6 linked regions of the Oryzias latipes genome follow. The protein of the gene in region 1 interacts with the protein of each later gene in a pairwise test. Links are inferred from orthologs where the notes say so. Each region holds a gene or a part of one and is shown on either strand. Other genes may lie near its edges.

Region 1 (2,869 bases):
AGCTATTTAGGTGACCCTTATCTTATTTTTTGAACCATAAGGTGCACTTAAATCCTTTCATTTGTTCCAAAAATAACAAAAAAAAATCCATCTCATAATCTGGTGGTCTTTAACTCTGGTTGTGCCAACTGACCTTCAATTGATTTTCCGTTACATGGTGCAAATAAATCTGTTAAAGTGTGATACGTACCGTCCTTCAAATGTTTGTGAATGAGTTTTAAAAAAAGTTTGAGTTAACTTACTTTTTAAAAAACTTTCTTACTTCCCTTATAGTTACTTTTAAATATGACAATCATTTTTCTTTAACCAGAGAGCCACAACAGAGCGATAAAGAGCTGCAGGTGGCTGAGCGCTGGTCTTCGTGGGTGTTTTTTAGTACCTGCTTTATAATTCATGAGCACTTATTTAGACACAGTGAAGTTTTCAACTTTTTATTTTCATCAAGAGCCATAAAAGTTTTAGAAACAAATAACATTAAGATATCAACCCCCCCCCCCAAATACTCTCAAAGTTTATTAGAAAGACTTTGATATTACAGAATGTTTCCTTATTCGTTTAACTTAGCGCGACTTATTTAGAAATATGATGCAATTCTGACAATTCTCTTTGACACTGACAGTCAATGGAGTTTACAAAGGTAAATGTGTCTGTGACTTTCCTCATAGATTTATAGCCATTGTTTATTATTACTGACAGTGAGGAAAAGAGATGACAAATAAACGAGACATGGAAAAGTGGAAAAATTGTGCACAGCTTCAGACAAAGGCATTCCTGTGCACAAGTAGCCGTATTGTTACATTTTCCTGATTGAACAGTCATTATGTGGCAAAGACTAGCTGCAAATGGAGTGCAAAACACCTGAGGTTTTCCATGGTGACTTATCAACTTACCCCTTGGGACAAAACAATAAAACATTTTGTTTCATCGAGTGGGAGCGGGTATCTTCAGTATTGGCAGCGTGAAGAAGACCCGATCTTTCAAATGCGGAAAACAAAAGCAGACCAGAGGAGTGGGACTCTGGCCCCCACCAGCTCCCTGGCGCCTGCCTCATTTCTTGGCTTGCTTGGTCACCATGTTGCGAGGGGGAGTCACAGGACGACTGCCGTTGGGCTTTTTTTTCTCAGCTGGTTTCAAGATCTGCAAATCCAGTGTAAAGAGTTACGCCTTTGTTTTATCACATCCCAAAAAAAACCACACACCCAATAACAGTCCTTTGAGGCCTAGACATTTCTTATTTTCATATTAAAGCTTTTAATAAAGAATAAATAAACAAATGTATACTCAAACTAAAATTCCCTAGTAATACAGAATAAGAGTTACATTTCCTCTTTACTGCTACACAATAAACGATTTCTGCTTGTAAGAAACGTTAAAAAAGAAACAAACAGGTTAGTAAGTGGAATATGTTAATACGGCTTCATCTCAACAACATGGATAAAAGTTATGCTTTAAGAAAAAGGGTGTATTTTCCATGTCTTTGTTTTGGAAAGTTAACCCCGCAGAGAAGACTTCCAGCTGTTGCTGCTGAGAGGCAGCAGCTGCAGCGCTTTATCCACTTTTATAGCTGTCTGACTGCTTTTTTACTCGATCAACACAGACATTTGGAGAAATCAAAAATCAAATACACCTATAGATTCTCCCTGAAGATAACCCAGGAACACTAACACCAAGAACGGCAGCATAAACCACTTGATTGACATTTCGAAATGCAATGTCAATCTTTCTTTAAGGCAACTTTCTATTAAAAATTGACTGTTTTTTTTGGGGGGGGGGGGGGGGGGGGGGTAAACCTGCAACCTCCTTCCCATCATCCTTAACCAGGAGCTCTGTGTTCATATGCTCTCCCACTATCTTACAGCCCCTAAAAACCCAATATTACATTAGTGGTGGAACAAAAATGGCGAGCAATACTAAAGGGTTCCAGTCATACAGTTTTGATCCAGATTCCAGCTGAGACAAGGAAAACTAAGACGTAAATGGATCTATTTGTTTGCATCAGAATAGAGTAGAGCAGGGAGCTTGAGGCCCGCCCAACAAGGTTTCTACGTCACACATACACCTTTTTATAAATAGTGTTTTTATCATTTTAAAGAAAGACATAGAAATGCAATTTTAAGCTTAATATGTTTCCCTTGTCATCAGAAAAATGACAGAAGACCATGCTAAAAACACCAAAAACACACTTTACCGAAGTGGGTCTTTGAATAGGGAAGAAAAGGAATGTGTATTTTTGTTTAGTTTCCATCACTCACTTAGTAAACATTTATTAAAAAAGCAAATCAATTGGTGTTGGAATTAAAAATGTATAAATCAAATCAATATTTAAGTAACTGTATCAAATCCTTAATCAAACTCAAAACAAGCAGTTATGTTTTAATGTCTTGAAATGTAATTTTCTTTAAAGGAATGCTTAATCTAGGGTTAGCCTGAGATCATATTGGTGCAAACAGCTTATGGTAGTATCTTCATGAATAAAGGTAGCCCACCTGAAAAGAGCACATAAGAGTCTCGTCGACACTCATCATGGCACCAGCATTGTCAAACTCCCCGCAGTAATTTGGAGCTGAAAACAGGGTCACAAGCTGCCTCTTTGCAAAAAACTCATAACCATCTTCAACCACCTGAAAGAGGCAGAACGACAATAAAGGGGGTTAAAAGAAAATTCCAAAAAGTGTGACATCATCACGCTTAGTTTTACTGTCACCATGATTACACTCTCTCTCAACTAAAGTGCAGTTTTTTTTAAAACAGTTGCATTTAAAAGGAAATTGATTTTAAATGTCAAAGAATGTCATTTCTATTCAAAAGCTCAGGTTACCAGAAGAAATGCTGTTTTTTCAGGGGTCAAAAATAAATGTCTTTTGATACA
Region 2 (4,175 bases), on another chromosome or scaffold:
CAGCATCTTAATCCACTTATGCAAACCGGCTGCTGCAGGTCAAGCGATGAGACGCGGCGGTTTAGCGGCATGCGGATGTGTGCAAGCGCGCATGTGGAGGCGTGAGCTTCAACAACAACTACGGAGGTGTGCAATGAAAACAACAGGTGCAAACAAAACCAGAACCGTGACATTTGACTGCTAAATTTAGACCTCAAGAAAAATTTGACGAACACGCGTCTCACGACATGATGTGTGTTGCCATGGGGATGTGTGTCTGTGGGGGGGTTCTGCCTTCGTGAGGAGGCTCCACATTTCTGAAAGACTGGTTTAGGAAAAGCAAAACAGAACATTTGAGTCTGTGCTCACCTTCTTCCCATTGGAGCCCGTTTTGGAGAGGCAGGACTTTGGGAGGGACAGGTATCCACCGATGACCTGGATGTCCTCCACAGCGGGGTAGCGCTTCTTCAGCAGGGTTCCCAGCTGAGCGTACGGGGCCTGTGGGGGAGTGGACCCCGGTGGGGCCCCCCTTGGTGCTTCTGGCTGGGTCTCAGGTGAGCTTGGCTGGGTGTCGGCCTCCACCCTGCGCTTTGGCACCACAGTGAAGGTGTTGCCCTTCTTCCTCTGAACAAGGGGGCTGGGGACAGAGACGCGCTGTGGGGGCTCCACCTCAATGTCATCTATGTTCGTTACTGGCAGCTGATCCAAAGAGGGGGGCCGGTGCGTCGGGGAGGGGGTGGATGTGAGCGGCAATGGGGCAGGGGAGTCTGTTGGAGCTGGTGAAGATGGGGGTGAAGCTAGAGCAGGTGAGGAAAAAGGAGGTGGGGTAACAACAGCAGGTGGAGACAAAAGGTCAGAGGTCACAGGAGAACCAGGACTTGTTTCAGTGGTAGGAGAGGCGTCGGGCTTGGGGGTCCCCACCAGCCTCTCCGTCTCATTTTCCTCCAATAAATTTTCAGCTTTTTTCTCCGTGGACTTCACAGGGAGTGTTGGGGAGGGGGGCACTCTGTTGGAGGAGGAGGCCTTGACTGTGCTGGCCGCTGCAGGCGGGGCCGTAAGGCGGCCTTTGGGGACCACGGTGAAGGAGTTCCGGGACTGCAGGCGGAGGTTTGCGAGGGCTCGTGCCTGGGTGTCCCCGTCAGGGATCTGAGCCAGGTCTGGCTTTGGGGAGGCCCGGATCTCAAAGTCCTGTGAGGGACGGGACGCCTTGAAGGAAAAGGGAGCTGTGGGGGACTCGGCACGGGCACGGCGGGTCTCCGGAGAGCATGGCACCTTTGGTTTGGGGGACACCTCGGTGACCTCCCAATCTCGCTCCCTGGTGACCTTGTTTGGCCCCCTGTCTGGCTCGTCTCGTGGGGGGGCCGCTGGGCCTTCCTCGAACCGCTGACGGAAGGATGACACTGGATGAGGGCCCCCGGGGATGTGCTGGGGGCTGCTGTGCTCCGGAACAGGATGCTTTGGTGTGGAAGAGCAGGAACTCTGGAAGAGCGGTGAAGACAGCTGGCTGCTGACCGACTGACCCGGCCCCTGTTTTGGCCCCAGGTCTGGCTGTGGTCTGGACCAGAGTCTGGATCTGCTGCTGGAGTTGCTGTCCAGGTCCAGCAGGTTCTCCGTGCTGTGGGACTTCTTCTGCAGTTTCCCATAGTTGCTGTCAAACTTCTGCAGGATCCGGCTGACCCGGCCATGGCCCTCCCCTGCAGCATACGCGGCCTCATACTCGGGTCGGCCCAGGGTGCTCAGGTTCTCCTCGCTCTTGCTCAGCGTGGTGTCGTAGATGACCACCTCCTTGGCTCGGATCTCGGTGACAGCGCTGCCCCTGCGGTCCAGAAGGTCGTTCAGGGAGCTGTAGCCCCCCACCCCGTTCTGCTGCCACTTGGCCCCCGTCTGAGCGTCTCCAGCTTCTGGGAAGTAATCTGGATCCGTCTCGATGATGATGATGTTGTCGGCTCGGATAGTCCGTATTCCCGGGACGCTGCCGTACAGTTCCAGGATGTGCTGGACCGGGCGGCCGGTGTGTTCTCGCTCCTCCTGCCGCTCCTGCCGCCTCCTCCGCTCCTTCTCCAGCTTGATGAACGGGTTCTCCTCGAGGGGCCCCAGACTCTCCTGCAGAACCAGGCTCTCGTGCCGGTCGTTCTCCCTCGGAGTCCTGTCGGAGGCCGTCGGTCGCGGCTCTTTGTTGTTTGCGAAGTGTTGGCTGGCTGTGGTGATGGTGTAGTTCCGTCCGGACCCACCGGCCGCCCCGCCGTCCCTCGTGAGTCCGCCGCTCCCGTTCACATTCCCCGTTAGCTCGCCGTTTACCCGTTGTGGGCCCGCACTGCCAGGGCTGGTCTCCGGGGACCCGGTTCCCCCCGAACCGCCGCCCTTAGCCTTCCTCCTCTCCAAGATTTCTCGCTTCCAGGCCGGCATCCTCGGACTTTCTTGGCCGGCATCTTGGCGGAGGAGGCGAACCTCAGCCCCGCCGGACATCGTGGTGGCTACCTCGGAAGGAATGAGGCACTGCTGCCGCGGAGCGCTGCGGCTGTGAAGGGCTGAGTGTGCCGCCGAGCGTACCCACAGGACCGTTCAGGGCGCACGCATCCCTGCCTCCCCCCGCGCTCTCTCTGTCGCCTTCACGGTACACTACTCTGTTTCTCCCACAGCCCCTGAACGCGACTCCTCCTCTCCACCGGACCGTAGCCCCTCCTCCCCATCCGTTCATCGGCCCCAAGGCTTTACAGACACGCCCATTTGCTTCCCTTAAACCGCCCCACAATCTCCCAAACCACGCCCCATCAATTGTTAACCGCATAAAATGGACTGTCAGTCAAAAAAAAAAAAAGGTTGCATTCAAGGCCGGTCCATCCTTTCAGGCAACTAAAGACGAATTCACACTTTGAGCTGCGTCCTTTCTCATTTACGGCTTTGTCGCCTGACTTTTAGTTCATAAAGAAGTTCAAGTTCACGAAGAAAACTCAAATATGACCTATTTTGGCTGAAGTTTAGGTCTCCCCAGGTGTCCCCTGTCGGTACCCGAGCGAAGCAGCTTTTTTCCTGCACGTGAATCAGCGCTAAGTGTTCTATTCTTGGGGACAACAACAGATTAATGTACCTGATCAAATATTAATCGCGCGGCTATAATTAAACACAGCTCGACATAAGTGGCCAGAACAATAACCAGTTTATTTGTTAGGTTCGCCCTGTTTGCTGAACAACAAAGGCTTCGGTACATGTTGATGGATACTACTGTACCAAAGTTTGGCTTCAGTGATTGATTTATTAGGAATTTGACCTTCTACGGGCTGTTAGGAAATACTAGTCATTAAAATAAGAAGTAAAATCAGAAAAAAACATTTACACGACATTTGGAAATCGTGAGATTTTAATAACTGATTGACCAGCATACTAGACTTTTACATGACAAACAGCGACCCCTTGTGGTCACTCTTTACACACACAGATTTAAATTATTCATTAGACAATATTAGTTTCGTTTTTATTCACAAATTTGCAAAGTCCAAGAAATAAAACAAAAACAAAAAACTGCATGTGCCAACTTCATTTAAAACTTCTCACATAACATACTTTGACATCAATACAATAAATAAAAATAAAGTCTTAAATACATGCAGATACATATAACACACAGTAAAGTATAAACCAAACATAGCTTCTGAAAATAAACAGCTCTCAGGGTGAGGCGTGAAAACAATCTACTGCTTGTTGCAATGAGGGGGTTCAAGCACAAACAGGTTTCTGTGAGGGTCATTCTCACAAACAGGAGCCAGCGAGGGGAGTATAAAGGTTGAATGAACAACACCACAGACAGAGAAAAGATGAAAAAAATTGAGCAAAATGTGTTTTTTTCTTTTTTTTTCTGGGCAAACAAAACCAGTAACCAACTGAAGTTTCTCAAACTGCAAAGACCATTACAGTTTTAGATTGTTGCAATGTATTGTCTTTAAACAAATCAGCAGGTGAACAGATACATGAAAGTATAGCTGATATTTCCCGTAAGGCTCATAATTTTCTGTTGATTGCGCATCTGACATTTTCCGTTTAATTCTCACAAAGTTCCAAAAATGAAGTTACATGGGAAAGCAACTGATTGAAATGACTTCCAATAATTGTTTCAGAACAAAAAAAACCAACGTAACTCAAGCAGGCACATAAAATTGTCCCTCAAGCTACACCGTAGCGGTTTGAAAACAAGAGGAAAT
Region 3 (4,153 bases), on another chromosome or scaffold:
GTCTGGTTTTAGAACGAACCACAGTACAGAGACAGCCTTCTTTTAAATCATTGATGATGTCAGGTGTGCCTTGGATTCAGGTCAGATCTCAGTACTAGTTCTGTTAGATCTAAGTGCAGCTTTTGATACCGTTGATCACCGGATCCTTGTAAACAGACTTAAAAGTCTTGGCCTTTCAGGGACTGATCTCAAGTGGTTTGAATCTTATCTCATGGAGAGAAACTTTATGGTAAGCATGGACACATACCTTTCTGGGGTCCATGAAATTATTTGTGGTGTGCCTCAAGGTTCCATCCTTGGCCCCTTGCTTTTTAACATTTACATGCTTCCACAAGGAAATGTCATCAGAAGCCACAACATCAGCTTTCATAGCTATGCTGATGATACCTAGCTGTACATAGTTATGTCTCCTGATGACACAAGACCAATAGAAGCACTTTTTAACTGTATTTTAGATGTAAAATTATGGATGGCAAATAACTTTCTGCAGCTCCACCAGGAAAAAAATGAAATTTTAGTTATTGGTCCTGAAGTTAAGAAAGAGAAACAGTTTCTGAAGTTAAAAGAAATTTCATTAAGCCATTCAGAAACAGTCAATAAACTGGGTATTATTTTCAACTCTAAGCTTACTTTTATCCCACAAACAAAACAGGTGGTTAAAACTGTTTTTTATCATCTCAGAAATCTGGATAGGCCCACTGCTCTTTCTTGCTAATATGGAGATGCTAATGCATGCTTTTATCATGAGTAAAATTGACTACTGCAAAGCCCTGCTTGCTGGTCTTCCAAAAACCAACATTAGGAACCTTCAACTTCTCCAGAATTCTGCTGCACGAGTTCTCACCAAGACCAGGAGGCGGGCTCACATCACCCCAATTTTAAAATCCCTGCATTGGCTCCCCAATCCCCTTCAGGATTGATTTTAAGATTCTCCTAACCGTTTTTAAATGTCTTAACGGTCTTGCGCATTCTTATTTATCCAATCTTTTAGTAAAGTATAAACCCTCGCGGACCCTGAGATCCTCTGGCACAGGTCTGTTAACCATTCTGACTGTAAAACCCAAAACCTACGGAGAAGCATCTTTTCAACACTATGGCCCCCGTTTATGGAACAGTCTGCCAGAGGACCTGAGAGCCGCAGAGAGCATTGACGTTTATAAGAAAAGGCTAAAGAACCATCTGTTTAACCTGGCTTTTACCTAGTTTTTTACCACCACTATTTATTTATTTATTTGTTTGTTTGATTTATTTATTTTTATGTATCCATTTTATCTTGTTTTATGAACTTACACTAGATTTTAATGCATTATTTTAATTTGAATGTACCTTATTTCAATGTTTTATCGTTTATTGCTTTTATCAATAAGTTTATTTTTTCATTCTGTTTTTCATTTTATTTATTTTTTCGGTGCTTCCTCAGTTGAACCTCTCCCTGTGGGTCGGCTGCTGTTTCAGCCACTGCGGCTCTGGATGGGGACCTGGGTCACCTCTTGGCTGTGGGGGAGCGGTCCCCGCCTGTGATGCTACACTTTAATGCAGACTCCTTTCTGGGTTTTTTTGTGTGTTTTTTTTTCTTTTTCTTTAACTTTTCATAAAATCCAGTAAACCCAGCAAATTAAATGTATTAATGAAAATGTTAGTTATTAGGAAGCAGCTGTTGGTTTGTTGCGGGGTCTGGAATCATCAGCGGTGAGTCTAAGCCCCGCCCCTCTACCTGTTCACAGCCACTGCAACTGCGAGTTGGTTTCCCCCGCGCGCGCGCTGCTCCAGAGTGTTCTCCACTCCAAAAACTGTCATCCCAGCAGCACGCAGACACATGTCATTATAACTTCACGTGGAAATGAGCGCGCGCGGCGGGTGGGATGTGGTTTTTGTTTGTTTTTCGGGGAGCTCGTGCCCCCGGCGACTGCCCACATTGCCCACAGGAGAACTGCCACTGCAGATGGGTGACCGTTGGCGAGGCTTATGCAACATGAGGAGGCACGGAGGCTCCAGCCTGCAGGCCGAGCAACAGCCCGGGAGGAGCAGCTGCTCCTCAACTTAGCGGGACTGCTAGTGAGACGAAAAGCTCCACCAAGTCCGGCAGAACGTGTAACGCCGCACTGGTGTTACATAATCCCGGCAGCGGGGGGCAAAGCGGCGGGCTTCAACCCCCGGGGGTCCAGCGGGCGCTCGTGCGCAGTGACGGACGCGGGGCGCTGCTCCGGCGGTTCAGCCCGCCGTCACTGACTCGGTGTCTCCGCTTCACCGAGTGCGACGCCGGTCACGACGGGTTGAGCGCTCAAAGTCTGCGCGTCCCGGCCGCCGCTCCGTCTGCGGTGGAGTTAGCGACAGCTGGAATTCACGCAGCGCGTTGTATGATTCACGCAGAATCCCGCGTTACCGTTACGAAACGTTCGGAGGGGGTCGCGCACGTTCGGGGGCAGGAGCGGCGGTCAAACGCCGCGGCGGACCCGCACGTCCACTGCCCGCCTTCGGGAATACCGCTGCAATGGCGGTGCGGAGCGTTACGGGAGCAACAGAGCTGCGAAATGTCACCCGAAAACAAATGCAGCAACTCACCGGAGGAATCCTCATCTTCACGCCCGTCCCCCGCGAGACTCCCCGTCACTCCGGAGAAGCCATACATACATCCGAGCCTTTCGGGGCGTTTCCGAGGGATTCCCCGTCAGAGGCTTCGCCGCCGCCGGTCTCTGATGTTTAGAGCCGAAAAGTAGAGCCTGTAGTCCGCCGTAGTTGTGAGGCAGCACTCCAGACTCCCTCCCCCATGGTTTAATGCTGGAAAATACGGATGAAGGAAAGGCAAGCTCAATGGAAGCACCTGACTTCCGGAACACATTTCAAAATAAAATCCCTCAGAAAATCTGAGAAGAACTGTACACTGTAACATCTTAAACTTGCTTTATAATAAAAAAGAAAGCAAATTATTACTTTTAAGTAGTTTTTGTTTTATTGCTATTACCCTTAGCAAGAACCAAAAGCCTGATTAAAAAAACTAAAATTTATGGAACCTATTTAAAACAATAAAGTTCCACTCTGTTTATCTTTTGATTCATTTTCTAAGCGTCTTTAATGGTCTTTTAATTATGTAGCAGTCAGTGACTGCAAGGACCATATTGTTTTTGTAGTTGGAAAGGTTTCGGCGCCTTTGAGCAAAAATGTAACCCCCGCCGCATACTCGAAAAGTCACCAAAATATGACTTTGGGAGTTAAAGTTTTGAAATCATTATGGGACAGCCACACAACCTATGGCTTGGCGGCTATTTTGTGGCAAACTCTGAGAATCACCGTTTTTTGTGTTTTTTCATAATATGGGAAAACGACACTTTTGTTTGAGCAATTTTGACGAAATCACACAAATATGCCACCAGCTCGAGTTTACAGAAGTTTCGTTGACCTTTGACTTTGGGAAAAGGCAGCTATCTTGAATTTAATTTAATTTACTTCCAGATACAAGCAAAAACTCTTCCTAGGGATTTTTAATTAATTGTCTCTTAATCGTCTCGGCATCAATGGCAAGGTACTGTGGAGAAAATGTTGGAATTCTGTGGCAGCTGGTGTAGCAGAAAAAGGGATTCAACAATGCCACCCCGGGACACCCAGAGGCGCTTCAACCCAGGCGCACAGATTACTTTTCAAAATGAGGCCAAGACGTGGTACCAGTTTGAACACAATTTTATTAACACTAAAATTAAAAACAAGGGACTCCATCACACTGGTGGGGGAGAAATCGGGGAAGAGACCCTTCGAGGGCCGAGGCTTATCAACGGAGCGCTGGGCCGACCCACGTGGAGGAGATTGGCAACCAAAAAAATTAAAAAGGTACCGGTAGCTTTGTTGGTGGAAATACCATGTCAGAGCTCTTATTTTCCAGGCGACACATCGTGTTTCCGGTGTGGTAGCAGCTTGTCACGTGCAGCTTGACGCAGTTCCGGCCGCTCCGTCCAGCCAGCCTCTGCTCCCGCCGCTGCAGCAGAGCGGCCGGTGGGCCGGCCTGGAGGCGCTGATCCCCGGGGCGGGTCCGCGGATCCGTCCTGCTGCTCACAGCCAAAATGGCTCAGCCTTCTCAAGTAACCGTACCGGAGCTCCCAGCAGCAAACCCACGCGGAGTAAAGGCTTCTTCAAAATAATGCAATTCAGTTCATGAACGTAT
Region 4 (4,249 bases), on another chromosome or scaffold:
TATATATCTAAAGAAAATCACCATGCTGTTTTTATACTTAATTAGAAGGAGCTCACATAAAAAGTACACCCACCCTGCCCCCCATCATGTATAACTTCCTTTTGCTTCCCCTGCTCTCCTTTTTAATTCAATAAAAAAGCAGATTTTGAGTCTCACCTCCCGGAGTTCCTTGGCCACATCCTTGAGCTCTGTGAGAATGCCTTCCAGCTGGTTGATCACCATCTTCATGTGGCTGCGGATGCGTTCTCTCGGGCTGGGGGTCTCAGAGGTGTCCTGGGCCGGAGCTCTGCTGAGGGACATCCTTTACAAAGTGACGTGGGGCCAGTGGCCAACAGGCTGAGGGCGTGGGGGAGCCGAGTCGGGGTCCATGTCTTTGGCTACAATGAGCCTCAGCGCTACTGATCCGAACAGGGGCCCCGGCCACACAGGGAGACCTCAACATCTTAAAAGCACCTGGGCAGCCAAATTACCTTGCCTCGCCCGCACACTTGGCACAGGGTCACACTCTGACATCCATCCCTTCGGGTAGACGCTTCCAAAATTGAAGGGAGTATCAACATCAGAAAAGTCCCACACTTAAAATCCATGGACAAAAAAGGGAAGCAGAAAATGTGAGCTGACGCTGTTTGGAGATTTCTTACATAATCGTGTTAAGCAAACTCATCTCATGTCAGCATGTACATTTAAAACTGTCCCAGCTATTTTAAAACACCTGTCTATACAGGGAGACTTATTCCCCATTCCCCTTGTCCACTTGAATCTTTTTCACTTCAACACAGTGACATATTTGTAGACTAACCTACAAAACTGGGAACACAAAAAAAACAACCTTTTTTAATAGTGGGTTAAGCTTAAGCTACCTGGAAAAATAAAACCCACATCAACAGCTCACTTTGAAAATCTTTTTTCTAATCTATTGATGGCCAGTGGGGACAAGATTTGCCTTTTAAATGAAGTCCCTCAGTGAGGGCTAGTGTCTGCAAGAGAGAAAGGACAAATCTTCTCTGAAAAAAAAAAGATATTCCTCTGTGCCCCGTTTTATTTCTTCCTCTTGAAAAAAACTTGTTAAAATAAACTTTATTTCACATCCATTTTCCTTGCTGGCGAAAGGCTAATCGCGCTGTCCTTGTATTCTTGTCCACAAAAGGCAAGAGAGTAGGTGTGAGCTTTTTTTTTTCTTCCAATCTCTCTCCTGAATGCAGAGCTCATTCCAGGTGGCGTGGGATCAGGATGAATTGATTTCAAAGCCAGCAGAATGTGACTTGGTGAAGGGAATTTGTGGAGGGATAACAAAAAACCCCCAAATCATGTTGTCAGCGAGACACAGTAACAAGGAGCCTGGAACGCAGATGAGCACCCTCCTTTGGAATTTGGATGGGAGCTTGGCTTTTGCAGCATCGCTCTTCAAGTCCTCTCTCAGAACGCTGACCCACAGCAGTCCACAGGGGTGTGCCCAAAAACCAGAATAGCAGAAAGAGAGAAAAAAAAAATCACTTGTCTCCTTCAGTTGTTGCTAAGGGAACCCAGTCTGCCTGCTTGTGCTGTGATTGGATAATTATTTTACTTCTTATCCGTATAGAGAGTGTTTTTTCTGGGGACCGTTCTCAGAGAGGCAGAGAGCCTCGTGCCATCCAGCAGCACAAGATAAATCCCAGGAAAGCTTCCCAGAGGAGCTCCAGAGAGTGAGCAGGAGGGAGAGCTTCGCGCTCAATCCCGGGCAATGCCACTGCCACAGGGTGTGCTGGCCAATCACGCATGGCACCTGGTCAGAAGGGAAGGAAAGCAATTACTTATTCTTTCATGTCTCATCTTTCCCTCCTGTCTGTTGCTAGCCTCTCCTCAGTTTTGAGCAGTTCTAAGAGCAACATCAGTGCTGTGAAGGAGGTTGGAGACATGTGAAGTGAGTTGAGGATTTTCGGCTGCTGGTAAAATGCATCCCTCGCCTCAGCAGTACTTACCTCACTTCCACGCTCACACACGCGTTTACTGGAACACACACCTACTCACCGTGCCGGTATCACCACGCTGTTGCTACGCCTGGAGCTCAATAGCCAGGCGTATCACGATCACTCAAACCTGCCGGTTCCTTGGAGGTCCTTCTGTCGTGCACACTAACATCTTCTCTTCTGACCGTCTTGCTGCACTCTCTGTCTCTGTTCGACTTGCACACACAGGCTCCCTGACACACACACACACAGTTATCCCCCCTCCCTTTACTTACTGTCTTGACAGAGAGAGAAGCTTCTATCAGCAGGGTTATTTCACTCTGAGGTTGTGGCTCATCAGAGAAGGAGTAGAAGTGGAGGATGAAGCTGTGGAAGAGGAGGAGGAGGAGGCAGAAGGCATGAGATGGGGAAGATGAACGGTCCTAATAACACTCTAAGGGAGAGAGAAGGCTGAGGATGACTAAGAGACAGAGCGGCGAGGAGAACTCCTGCTTCGGACTGTGATGCAGGCGCTGCCGTCACTCAGGCAGCCGTACCACAAAAACACACCACCCGTCATCCCAGTCGGGTTGGATGGAAGCACTAGTCGGTACGGCTGACCGGCTGCTGTGAAAAAGGAGCTGTGTGATTCTAATGACAGTCTCTTCCTTTTTGTCTTTTGGTCTGTTTTTATCTTCCTCTCTCCTCTCTCTGCCTTCCTGTCAGTTTTCCTTCATCCCCATCCCTCTGCCCCTCCGCCCTCACTGTGTCCTCACTGACTGCCGGATGAAGGGAAGCTGATGCCAGAGTTTATCGAGAAGCTCGGGCTCCTGCCAGCATCACTCGGCTCCTCTGCTCGGCTCCATGTAGGAGGGGCTTGCTGCCTTAAAGGCACAGCATTTTTGCAACCTCCTCTCCTTCTCTCTCGTCTTCTCCTCCGTGCCGCTGTCAACACTCCCTCCCTATCTCCTCTCACTCAGCCTATCTAGCTTTTGTCACTAGTGTATAGAGGGTATTATCTTTTTTAAATCAAGTTTTTAACATCACTATTATACAAAACAGGTTGGTGTTTGATGGTGTTTGGTGTTTCTTCTGTCCTCCTCCAAAGGATTTTTGTCTCAACACAAGTTTGTTCCCTTAAAAACTCTACCTGAAGCACAGAGATATGAAGTTAGTTATCCAAAGCAAATTAAAAATGTGAGCACCTTCTGCAGTACTCACCAGTTTAAGCAGGTTTTTGGTAGATAACTCTTGTAAACAGCTAGAGGCTCTGTGCATTCCTTTGCATAACTGTGCAGAGAAATGAGAGGTTGATTCAGGTTAGGTGGATTTTTCATGCATATGAATTTGTTCTGGTGTCCTCTGTGGTTTTGCCACTAGGATCACAAACAAATGCGGGTGCTGTAAGGCTAATTGAGAGAATATTTTGTTGTATACTAAAATGATCTTTTGCAGGATTTCTTTGATTAATAAATAATCAGATTTTTGCTTGACAAAATACGTGAAGAAAAGAGAGGCTTCAAACAAAGTACAAACCTTTTAAAAGTAAGCGGTACCATTTTGTCGTCTTAGGAATTCATCAATTATTCATAACATTGTCTAATTTTAAAGCACATCATGGCTGGCTGTTGAGTTAAGGCTGGCCTGTGTTTGGATTTACACCGTGTTTGCTCTCTGTTGCAAACACAAGGTGCTTCTCACAAACTGCCGACTGAAAACAGGTGTCCTTGAGCATGTTTGCTTCACAGCTTCCCTGCCGTACCTCTCTCTCTTGTTCCGCACTTATAGAAAGCTCCATCCTAATAACACAGCAGCTGTTTTAGCAGATTTACATTTTGTTCTTCTCTTTCTTTCCTTCCATTTTTTTTGTTTTTTTTTTGGTAAGCATAAAAATAAAATCACATCTAGTCACGCCTTTGCTATAAATGAGCTTTTTCAGAAAAGACAGACTAAAAACTAATGAGAATCCCTGTGTTTTGTGGCATCATAGTACCTCCATTGCTTCCATGTTTAAAACCAATCAATTTTTTGTTTTTGAATACATACTGACATTTTAATGCTAAAGTAATTCCAGCTTGTTGTTTCTATTTAAAAAAGAAAAAAAATACATGATTTATTTCTAATATTGTTTTCACTGTTGTAGATGACATTGTTTATTGATTAGTTGTGTGTATAGTATAATTCTAAAACTATTGCTATGTCAGGAGAGTAAAGCTGGTAAGATACTGTACACTTGTTTCATTCCTGGATTTAAAAAAAAAAACATATATATAAAATATACATTGTTTTATAATCTGCCCTGCAACAGACTGGCGACCTGTTCA
Region 5 (2,576 bases), on another chromosome or scaffold:
CCCTCCTCATCGGTGGAGCTTTCGGAGTTACCGAAGCGGTTCGGGAAGCCGGCAGCAGGCACTGGACCGTTGAACTCTGACGTCTGACTGTTTGGGCCACTCAAGTGGTCACTCAGTTCCTTGGTGGGGGTCTCCTAAAAAAACACAAGAAGTCAAAATAAGATCTAAACATCTGCATTATGCTGCTAAGTTCACACAACGCACATTCAAGAAACCACTTCCTAGAAAAAGTCAAGGTAAATGTGCGTTCACACGTAGCTACACACGTTTTAAGACTTTTAGGCTCTACGTACAAAACGCACAGCCATTGAAGTCAGTCATTGGATGGCATTCCTTTTCATCTACAGAATTGCCAACCGTTTGAAATTTGATGATGGAGGAGAAATTAATAACTGCGGTTTGTACCCGGCAGGAATTCTACAACACCAAATCTTTCATCTACCAGAACAGCGCTGTGAAAGAAAAACTCTAGAGCAAGATTTACGAGATTGGACATTTCACCCCAAGTGTCTTCCAACAGTAGGTGGCGCTAGTATTAGGTAGAGACAGTCCAGTGTGAACGCCATGGGCTAAACACGCGTTCTTAAACGTACATAATATGTCTGGTGTGAACGTAGCTTTATATTTTCCAGGAAAACATCGCTGCAGAGATAAAAACAGATGTTGTACCTGGTCAAATAGGTAGACTGTAACATCGTCAAAGAAGGACACGGCTCTTCTGGAGTTCTCTGCGTTGGACCTCACTGGACACGGGGAAGTTGATGCTGGTATGCTCAAAGTTGTGGGTTTTAACAAACTCTTCAGGTGCTTTGAGTTGCTGTCGTCGGACACAATCACCGGCACGGGGTGCGGCGCTTCGTCCTCGCTGTCAGAGCTGGAGCTGTGCAGCTGGTACCCACGCAGGTCATCATCCGAGTCCTCGCTGTTCTCGTCCTCCTCGTCTGCGTCCACGCCATCTTCCTGCCCATCCAGATCCTCCCCCCTCCCCAGGTAGCGGCCCTCTACGTCTGGCTCTTTGATCTTATGGCCGTCGTTGGCGTACGTCCTGGTCAGCTTTGGGTGAACGCCTCTCTCTGGTTCTTTCCTTGATGAGGCGGCGGGGTCTTCAAGTTCTTCTGGTGCTGATGTAGCATTAAAAAGTTGAGGTGTCTTTTTGTCGGGCTCTGCAACTCTCGTCTCAAAGTCCTTGTGGACCTCCAGCGCCGCGTCGATATGGACGACCACGTTGGTGTCCTGCTCAGAAAATAAAGCATCGATATCTCTTTCTTTGGCAGCTTTCTGGGCAGAGTTCCTCAGCAACACAGCGTCGGCAGCCCCTCCTGCCGCTTCGTCAGACTTTTTCTCAGGTTCAGAGTCATTGTCAGAGAAGTACGCAGAGTCTCTGTAACTGCCGCCCATGAACGGCTCCTCAGCGGGACGATCCGTCTGCTGGCCCTCATGGAAGTCCTCCCCACAATTCTCCAGTAAACCCTCAACTTCGGAGATAACAATTTTTGGTGGCACCAAATTCGCTGCAGATGCCAGCTCTTCTGACTCTTTTGTGATGCTGCTGCCATTTTTGACAGGAGAGCGGTCGCTCGGCTGGGAGTTCCACTCCGGAGACTCCAGGTTTTCCGTCTCGTAGCCGCTGTCAGATATCTTGTATGGAGGATGGAGTTTGTGCTGAAGTGTTTGAGCGCTCAGCTCATCGGCCTGCTCCGCCAGCCTGTGTATGTCTAGAGAATCTAAAGAGTCTGGCGTTTCAGCCGGGTGCTCTGCGGTTGGAACGGTGTTAGAACAGCTGTCTTCTAGTAAGCTGTCCTGACTGATCTGGTCCAGAGACGGTCCAGACACCAAGAGAGAAGACCGAACCGCAGCTTCTCCATTGGTTTCCACGAAAGCCTCGTCATGATCCGACAGAGTGGTTTCCAACTCCATGTCCTCAATCAGCTCACTAAACAGATCGTTGCTCGTTAAGTCTTCACTGTGCCCGTTTTCCGAAGACATTCCATAAACTGGGAAATATTCCGGCATTTTCTTCCTCGCGGACTGATCGGCGGTTTGTAAGGTCGTTGGGTCGTCATCGTCAAGGCTGGCAATGTTGGCATAGGTGCACAAAGAGTCATTGGTGGCACTGTCAGGAAATGCGGAGGAGTGGCCATCAGTGACGATCTCAACCTTCTCTGAGGTAGAATCAAAACCGGAGTCTGCTCCTCTGTCGGAGGATTGTGGCAGGCTGCGGTCTTTAGAGGAAGAACTTTCTACAACTGGCAGGTAGCTGCTTGTGTTGTCATCTGCCACCACGGTAATGGAAGGCACCAGTGTTGAGTTTTCGACCAGGGCGTCCTCGAAGTTTGCACTTTCAAAGTCTAAAAGTTCCTGCCTTGAGGAGGCGCTACTTGGTGCAGGTTTTGAGTACGAGTCGGTTGTGTTTAAGCTGCCAAACGTCTCAAGGTTCTCCCAAGAGCTCATCTTGAAGGTATCCTCTGGTTCGTGAACTAAGCCGGGCAAAAGAAAAGTTGGGTGCAGTCTTGAGTTGACGGAGTCCTCTTTCATCAGCTTGTGGTCTCTAAGAAACACAAAGTTTCCAGACAGTT
Region 6 (4,007 bases), on another chromosome or scaffold:
TACGCAGTGTTGTGCCACTTCCCCTCTCAGTAAATAAAGAGCCTAACCCCAGGTAATGGGAGACGCTTTCATTAATAATTCATTTAACTCCAGTGTTTGTAAACACCAAATCATGTATGCATTGATGGTTTGTTTACAAACATGGGTTACATAATCCAAATTTTAAAAGATCTGCAGCATGTTTATGCAATGAAACTGCATTGCAGAAATTTGTGCTTTCCTGGGGATGCTGGGAAATACTCATTGTACGAAATAACATGTAATTTTCAAGACTTAGGTTTTATAGTCACATTTTTATGTTGACAACACAACCGTATATTAAAGTAAGAGGGAAATAAAATCCTGAGACTTTAATATTTTGACACAAATATATATAAATTTATTCCAAAAAGTAAATACATTACAATCATGGTGTGTGTCGGCAACACACACCTTCAAGTGAGACACAAAATGCCGGGGTCTAGACCTTTTCTTCACAGTGACTAAAAGTTTCAAAATACAAAATAATCTGGATTCCAGCCACTCAATCTGTACACTTAACATTAAGAATTGCACTTGTGAACACAAGCAACCAACACATTCGATCTTTACATCATTTCTTTCTTCACTTACCAGAACAATTAATCAAACGTCTTCCCTGTTGAAAACAACCAATCACATGCAGATACTTTCAAACCACACATCAATATAGCAGCTTCCTTTACATAGCTCGCCTCAGAATTACATTTTTCTTTTAACCAGGCAAAAGTGTGCAATTTACACGGAGGGAAAGAAAGGGCTGCATGACTCCCATTTTAGAAAACAAGACCACTCTGAATATAGGAGGGTGCAAAGGTTTAGTGTGCTTTTTTTTTCCTTTCCGTTTTAAAATTTTTTTTTATTAGAAATCAACCTAAATTTCCTTGAACAGAGAATCATTCTACTGTCATGCACCCCCTAGCTTTCCCTTCAATATGAAGGACATAATCAGCTCCTTTTCCTTCCTAATATCCAGACGTCACATTGAGCGCAGTCAGTGCATATTCAACTCATGCATCAGTCTGTATTTTAGTGGGCAGACATGATAAGAAGGCACATTAATATTTTACAAAAGGTCTCTTTCCCCCCTACCCCAAAAATCCCTCCTCTGGTAGCCACTGTTCAATCATTTACCAGGCCGAACGACCATGTTACAGCAGAAAGTAGGTCAGTTGAGCATATTACACTTAGGTTTCTGTCTTTTTTTTGTACTACTTCTGCTTCTGAAAGCAGAGCTTGTTCGCTTCAGTTTAGTTTCTGGCTGAGAGGCAGTCGAGTTGAAGCCCCAGAGCTGGATTTGCACTAAGAGCCCTGTCAGTGTCTGTGATCTTGTGCCGGTGTGGCGAACCTCCTGCTGCTTTCACCAGTAAGGCACGGTGTTATCAAAGTGACCCCAACTCTGCCAACCAGGAAAAAGTCCGCTGGACATGCGTGGGCTGCCGAACTGATCAAACCCCAGGTCAAGTACCTTCCCGTCCCCAGTTTTGTGCTCTGAAAGCCTTTTTGGCTCAGAAGCTCTGCTCACGTTGTCGCCGCTCCAGCCATTGTGTTTGAGGGTGTAATTCTTGCCATCGTTATTGTCCCAGAAAGCCTGGCCTTGGACCTTGAAGCAGATGCAGAACTCGACTCGGTTTTGTGGCGGGACGTAGGATGGCAGCTCCACGACAAACGCAAAGGTGTCATTGTCCTGGCTGTTGTAGACGTTGTTTAGGAAGGTGCAGTCCACGTCGGTGTAGCTGGCCCATGAGTCGTAGGTGATGCGCACTTGCACCAACTTCTCAAACCCAATGTTTCTGACTTTGATGGTCCCCGTCAGAGAGCGTTCCTGCAGGGAGCAGTTCTCCAAGCACACGGAGTTCTGAATCAGGCGGTTCCGAAAGTCCAGATAGTCGGCCGAGGGCTGTTTAAAGTCAAGTGCCAGGCTGCGAACAGAGCTGATCTTTAAATCCATGGTGGCTGTTTCCAGGTCTGTCATGTCGAACTGCAGCTCCTCTGTGATCTCATCCTTCTGCTTCATCTGGTACGGTTCATCATCGAACTTGGAGAAGACGTGGATGTTGGTGAGCGCCATGCCTTTGGTGTCGGCAAACACCACCCTCTTTTTGCCGGCCTTGCTTTTGTTCCAGGCCACGCAGCTACCATCACTAACTGCCTTCTGCAGGCACGGTCGCAGGGGCTTGTAGAGCTGCTGGCTGTGCCTGCGGGCGGACTGGTTGGCCCTGTTCTTGGCCTTCTGCAGGTCATCGTAGGGGCTGAGGAAGCCTCGCAGAGGAGGAGAGTGGCTAATGTAGAATCTCATGGCCACATCCATAGGCATTACAGGGCCAGGCATTGCTGATGGACTGAAAGACGGGAGCACACTGAAGGAGGAGGAGGAGGAGAGAGAAAGGAGAGGAGGGGGAGGTTAGAGATGGTGCTTTCTGGAAACAGTTTGGGGAAACTTTGACACTTTTGTGCAGTTTTTTTAACCAAAAGAGCTACTAAAAGTCAGTAAAACCACAAAATTTCAAATTAATCAGACTTAAATTCCAACATTTTGTAGTAATTACCGAATAAAGGGTAACACGTTTGGATTCGACGTGAACACCAGCTCCTTACCTTGCAGCACTCATGGGACAAAGAATAAAACGCCTCAGATGCGGAAATGGTTCGAAACTTTTCAGCTGCGTTGGAAATGTGCAGAGCAGCTCTGTCTTAAAGTGCCCGCTGCAGGAACTCCCCCCTTTATATGCCTCTTTCTCGCTCCTCAGTCCTCCAGTGCTGCGTTGGCTCCTCTCTCTGAGATTTGAACTGCCTCACGGGGGCTATTTGCATATCCCATCATGTGGTTCCCTGAGCAGCAAATCAGAAGGCGAGTGGCTTCGTCACCGACCAATCAGCTTCGAGGAGGACACGTCCGCCGGCCGGCTAGAAGGGGGCGTGTTGCGTCGTGGTTGGGATTCCTCAGCTAGTTGTTGGAGAGTCTTGATGGACCCCTGCTGGAGTGGCCGTCTCTCTGCCTGGGCGCAGACCATCTTCTTCCCCATGCCCAAGAAAAACCCCAGCAGCACCGAAAAATCTTCACAGACTTTGACAAGATCTTTTAAACTGATATTTAAAATATTTATTTTTTTTAAAAAAATATTTAACACCAAATTGGGAGAAAAAAACGTAAAAAAGTAACATTTACCCCCTACAACCCCCCCCCCCCCCCCCCCAAGTCATTGTCTTTTAACACTTTGTGTACTCACAACATAATTGCTAGGGGCCCCTCTTTGTCCCAGGTTCAAATGTCAACACTGCATTGCCAAATACTTTTTTTTCTCTTTGACTAACCAGCTTTGACTCCACTTTTTTCTTAAAGTTACATTTTCTAATGATTATAGATCCCTTTACTGGCAGAAACTATGGAGTTAATTCAGTCTCAATAATCAGAAATGCACACAACCGGTTTTACAAATGCACACGCTCCGATTCACAAATGTCATTTTATGCAAACGTGAAAAATAAATTCGGAAATACACACCCTGTGTTTCACAAACACACAGATTGTGTTTCACACATGCACACTAAATGTTTTACAAATGCACAATAAGTGTTTCTCACAAATGTGCACACTGTTTTTCACAAAAACATTTTAGAAATTCACAATAAATGTATCAGAAATACACAGTAGGTGCTTCACAAACATGATTTTTAGGTACACATGTGATGTGAACTCACAGATCATTCGAACTGCAGACTGTGCATTCAAACTCCCGTTCTCGTTTGTGAATCTCCCCGTGTGTGTGAGAGATTTTTCTACGGTGAATATTGAGACTCATCTGACGGAGCGGGTCAACTAATGTCACCATTGGCTAGTGAATCTGTCAATCAAACTCATCGGGAAAGCAGGCGGGTTCGCTTTTAGCCAATCGAATGGCCCCTTACACTTTCTCTACGCTTCTGCGGGTGGCAAAAGCCCCGCCCATGTTTGATTCTGTACCAGTCGGTCGTTAGCGTGTTAGCCC

What was found.
Region 2: the proteins of ppp1cc (region 1) and tprn interact in binary tests that used the Homo sapiens proteins (3 or more experiments, as listed by UniProt). The link is inferred for Oryzias latipes from reciprocal best matches to the Homo sapiens genes PPP1CC and TPRN.
Region 3: the proteins of ppp1cc (region 1) and zfyve9 interact in binary tests that used the Homo sapiens proteins (3 or more experiments, as listed by UniProt). The link is inferred for Oryzias latipes from reciprocal best matches to the Homo sapiens genes PPP1CC and ZFYVE9.
Region 4: the proteins of ppp1cc (region 1) and c3h15orf59 interact in a two-hybrid assay, tested with the Homo sapiens proteins (2 studies listed by BioGRID and IntAct). The link is inferred for Oryzias latipes from reciprocal best matches to the Homo sapiens genes PPP1CC and INSYN1.
Region 5: the proteins of ppp1cc (region 1) and serine/threonine-protein kinase LMTK2 interact in binary tests that used the Homo sapiens proteins (3 or more experiments, as listed by UniProt). The link is inferred for Oryzias latipes from reciprocal best matches to the Homo sapiens genes PPP1CC and LMTK2.
Region 6: the proteins of ppp1cc (region 1) and ppp1r3c interact in binary tests that used the Homo sapiens proteins (3 or more experiments, as listed by UniProt). The link is inferred for Oryzias latipes from reciprocal best matches to the Homo sapiens genes PPP1CC and PPP1R3C.

Annotation. Positions count from the first base shown.
Region 1 is NC_019867.2:25,502,798-25,505,666, forward strand, and holds the end of ppp1cc (serine/threonine-protein phosphatase PP1-gamma catalytic subunit), read right to left. Parts: intron 2,622-2,869; coding exon 2,487-2,621; intron 1,138-2,486; coding exon 1,048-1,137; 3' UTR 501-1,047; downstream 1-500. UniProt on the Homo sapiens protein: Protein phosphatase that associates with over 200 regulatory proteins to form highly specific holoenzymes which dephosphorylate hundreds of biological targets.
Region 2 is NC_019870.2:25,831,451-25,835,625, reverse strand, and holds the start of tprn (taperin), read right to left. Parts: upstream 2,801-4,175; 5' UTR 2,446-2,800; coding exon 349-2,445; intron 1-348. UniProt on the Homo sapiens protein: Essential for hearing. Required for maintenance of stereocilia on both inner and outer hair cells. Necessary for the integrity of the stereociliary rootlet.
Region 3 is NC_019875.2:4,330,823-4,334,975, reverse strand, and holds the start of zfyve9 (zinc finger FYVE domain-containing protein 9), read right to left. Parts: upstream 2,801-4,153; 5' UTR 2,563-2,800; intron 1-2,562. UniProt on the Homo sapiens protein: Early endosomal protein that functions to recruit SMAD2/SMAD3 to intracellular membranes and to the TGF-beta receptor.
Region 4 is NC_019861.2:27,767,791-27,772,039, reverse strand, and holds the start of c3h15orf59 (UPF0583 protein C15orf59 homolog), read right to left. Parts: upstream 2,801-4,249; 5' UTR 2,222-2,800; intron 2,186-2,221; exon of another isoform or gene 2,008-2,185; intron 1,763-2,007; 5' UTR 301-1,762; coding exon 157-300; intron 1-156. UniProt on the Homo sapiens protein: Component of the protein machinery at the inhibitory synapses, probably acting as a scaffold. Inhibitory synapses dampen neuronal activity through postsynaptic hyperpolarization.
Region 5 is NC_019866.2:12,832,156-12,834,731, forward strand, and holds part of serine/threonine-protein kinase LMTK2, read right to left. Parts: coding exon 670-2,576; intron 135-669; coding exon 2-134; intron 1-1. UniProt on the Homo sapiens protein: Phosphorylates PPP1C, phosphorylase b and CFTR.
Region 6 is NC_019873.2:14,796,075-14,800,081, forward strand, and holds ppp1r3c (protein phosphatase 1 regulatory subunit 3C), read right to left. Parts: upstream 2,801-4,007; 5' UTR 2,631-2,800; coding exon 2,617-2,630; intron 2,379-2,616; coding exon 1,379-2,378; 3' UTR 355-1,378; downstream 1-354.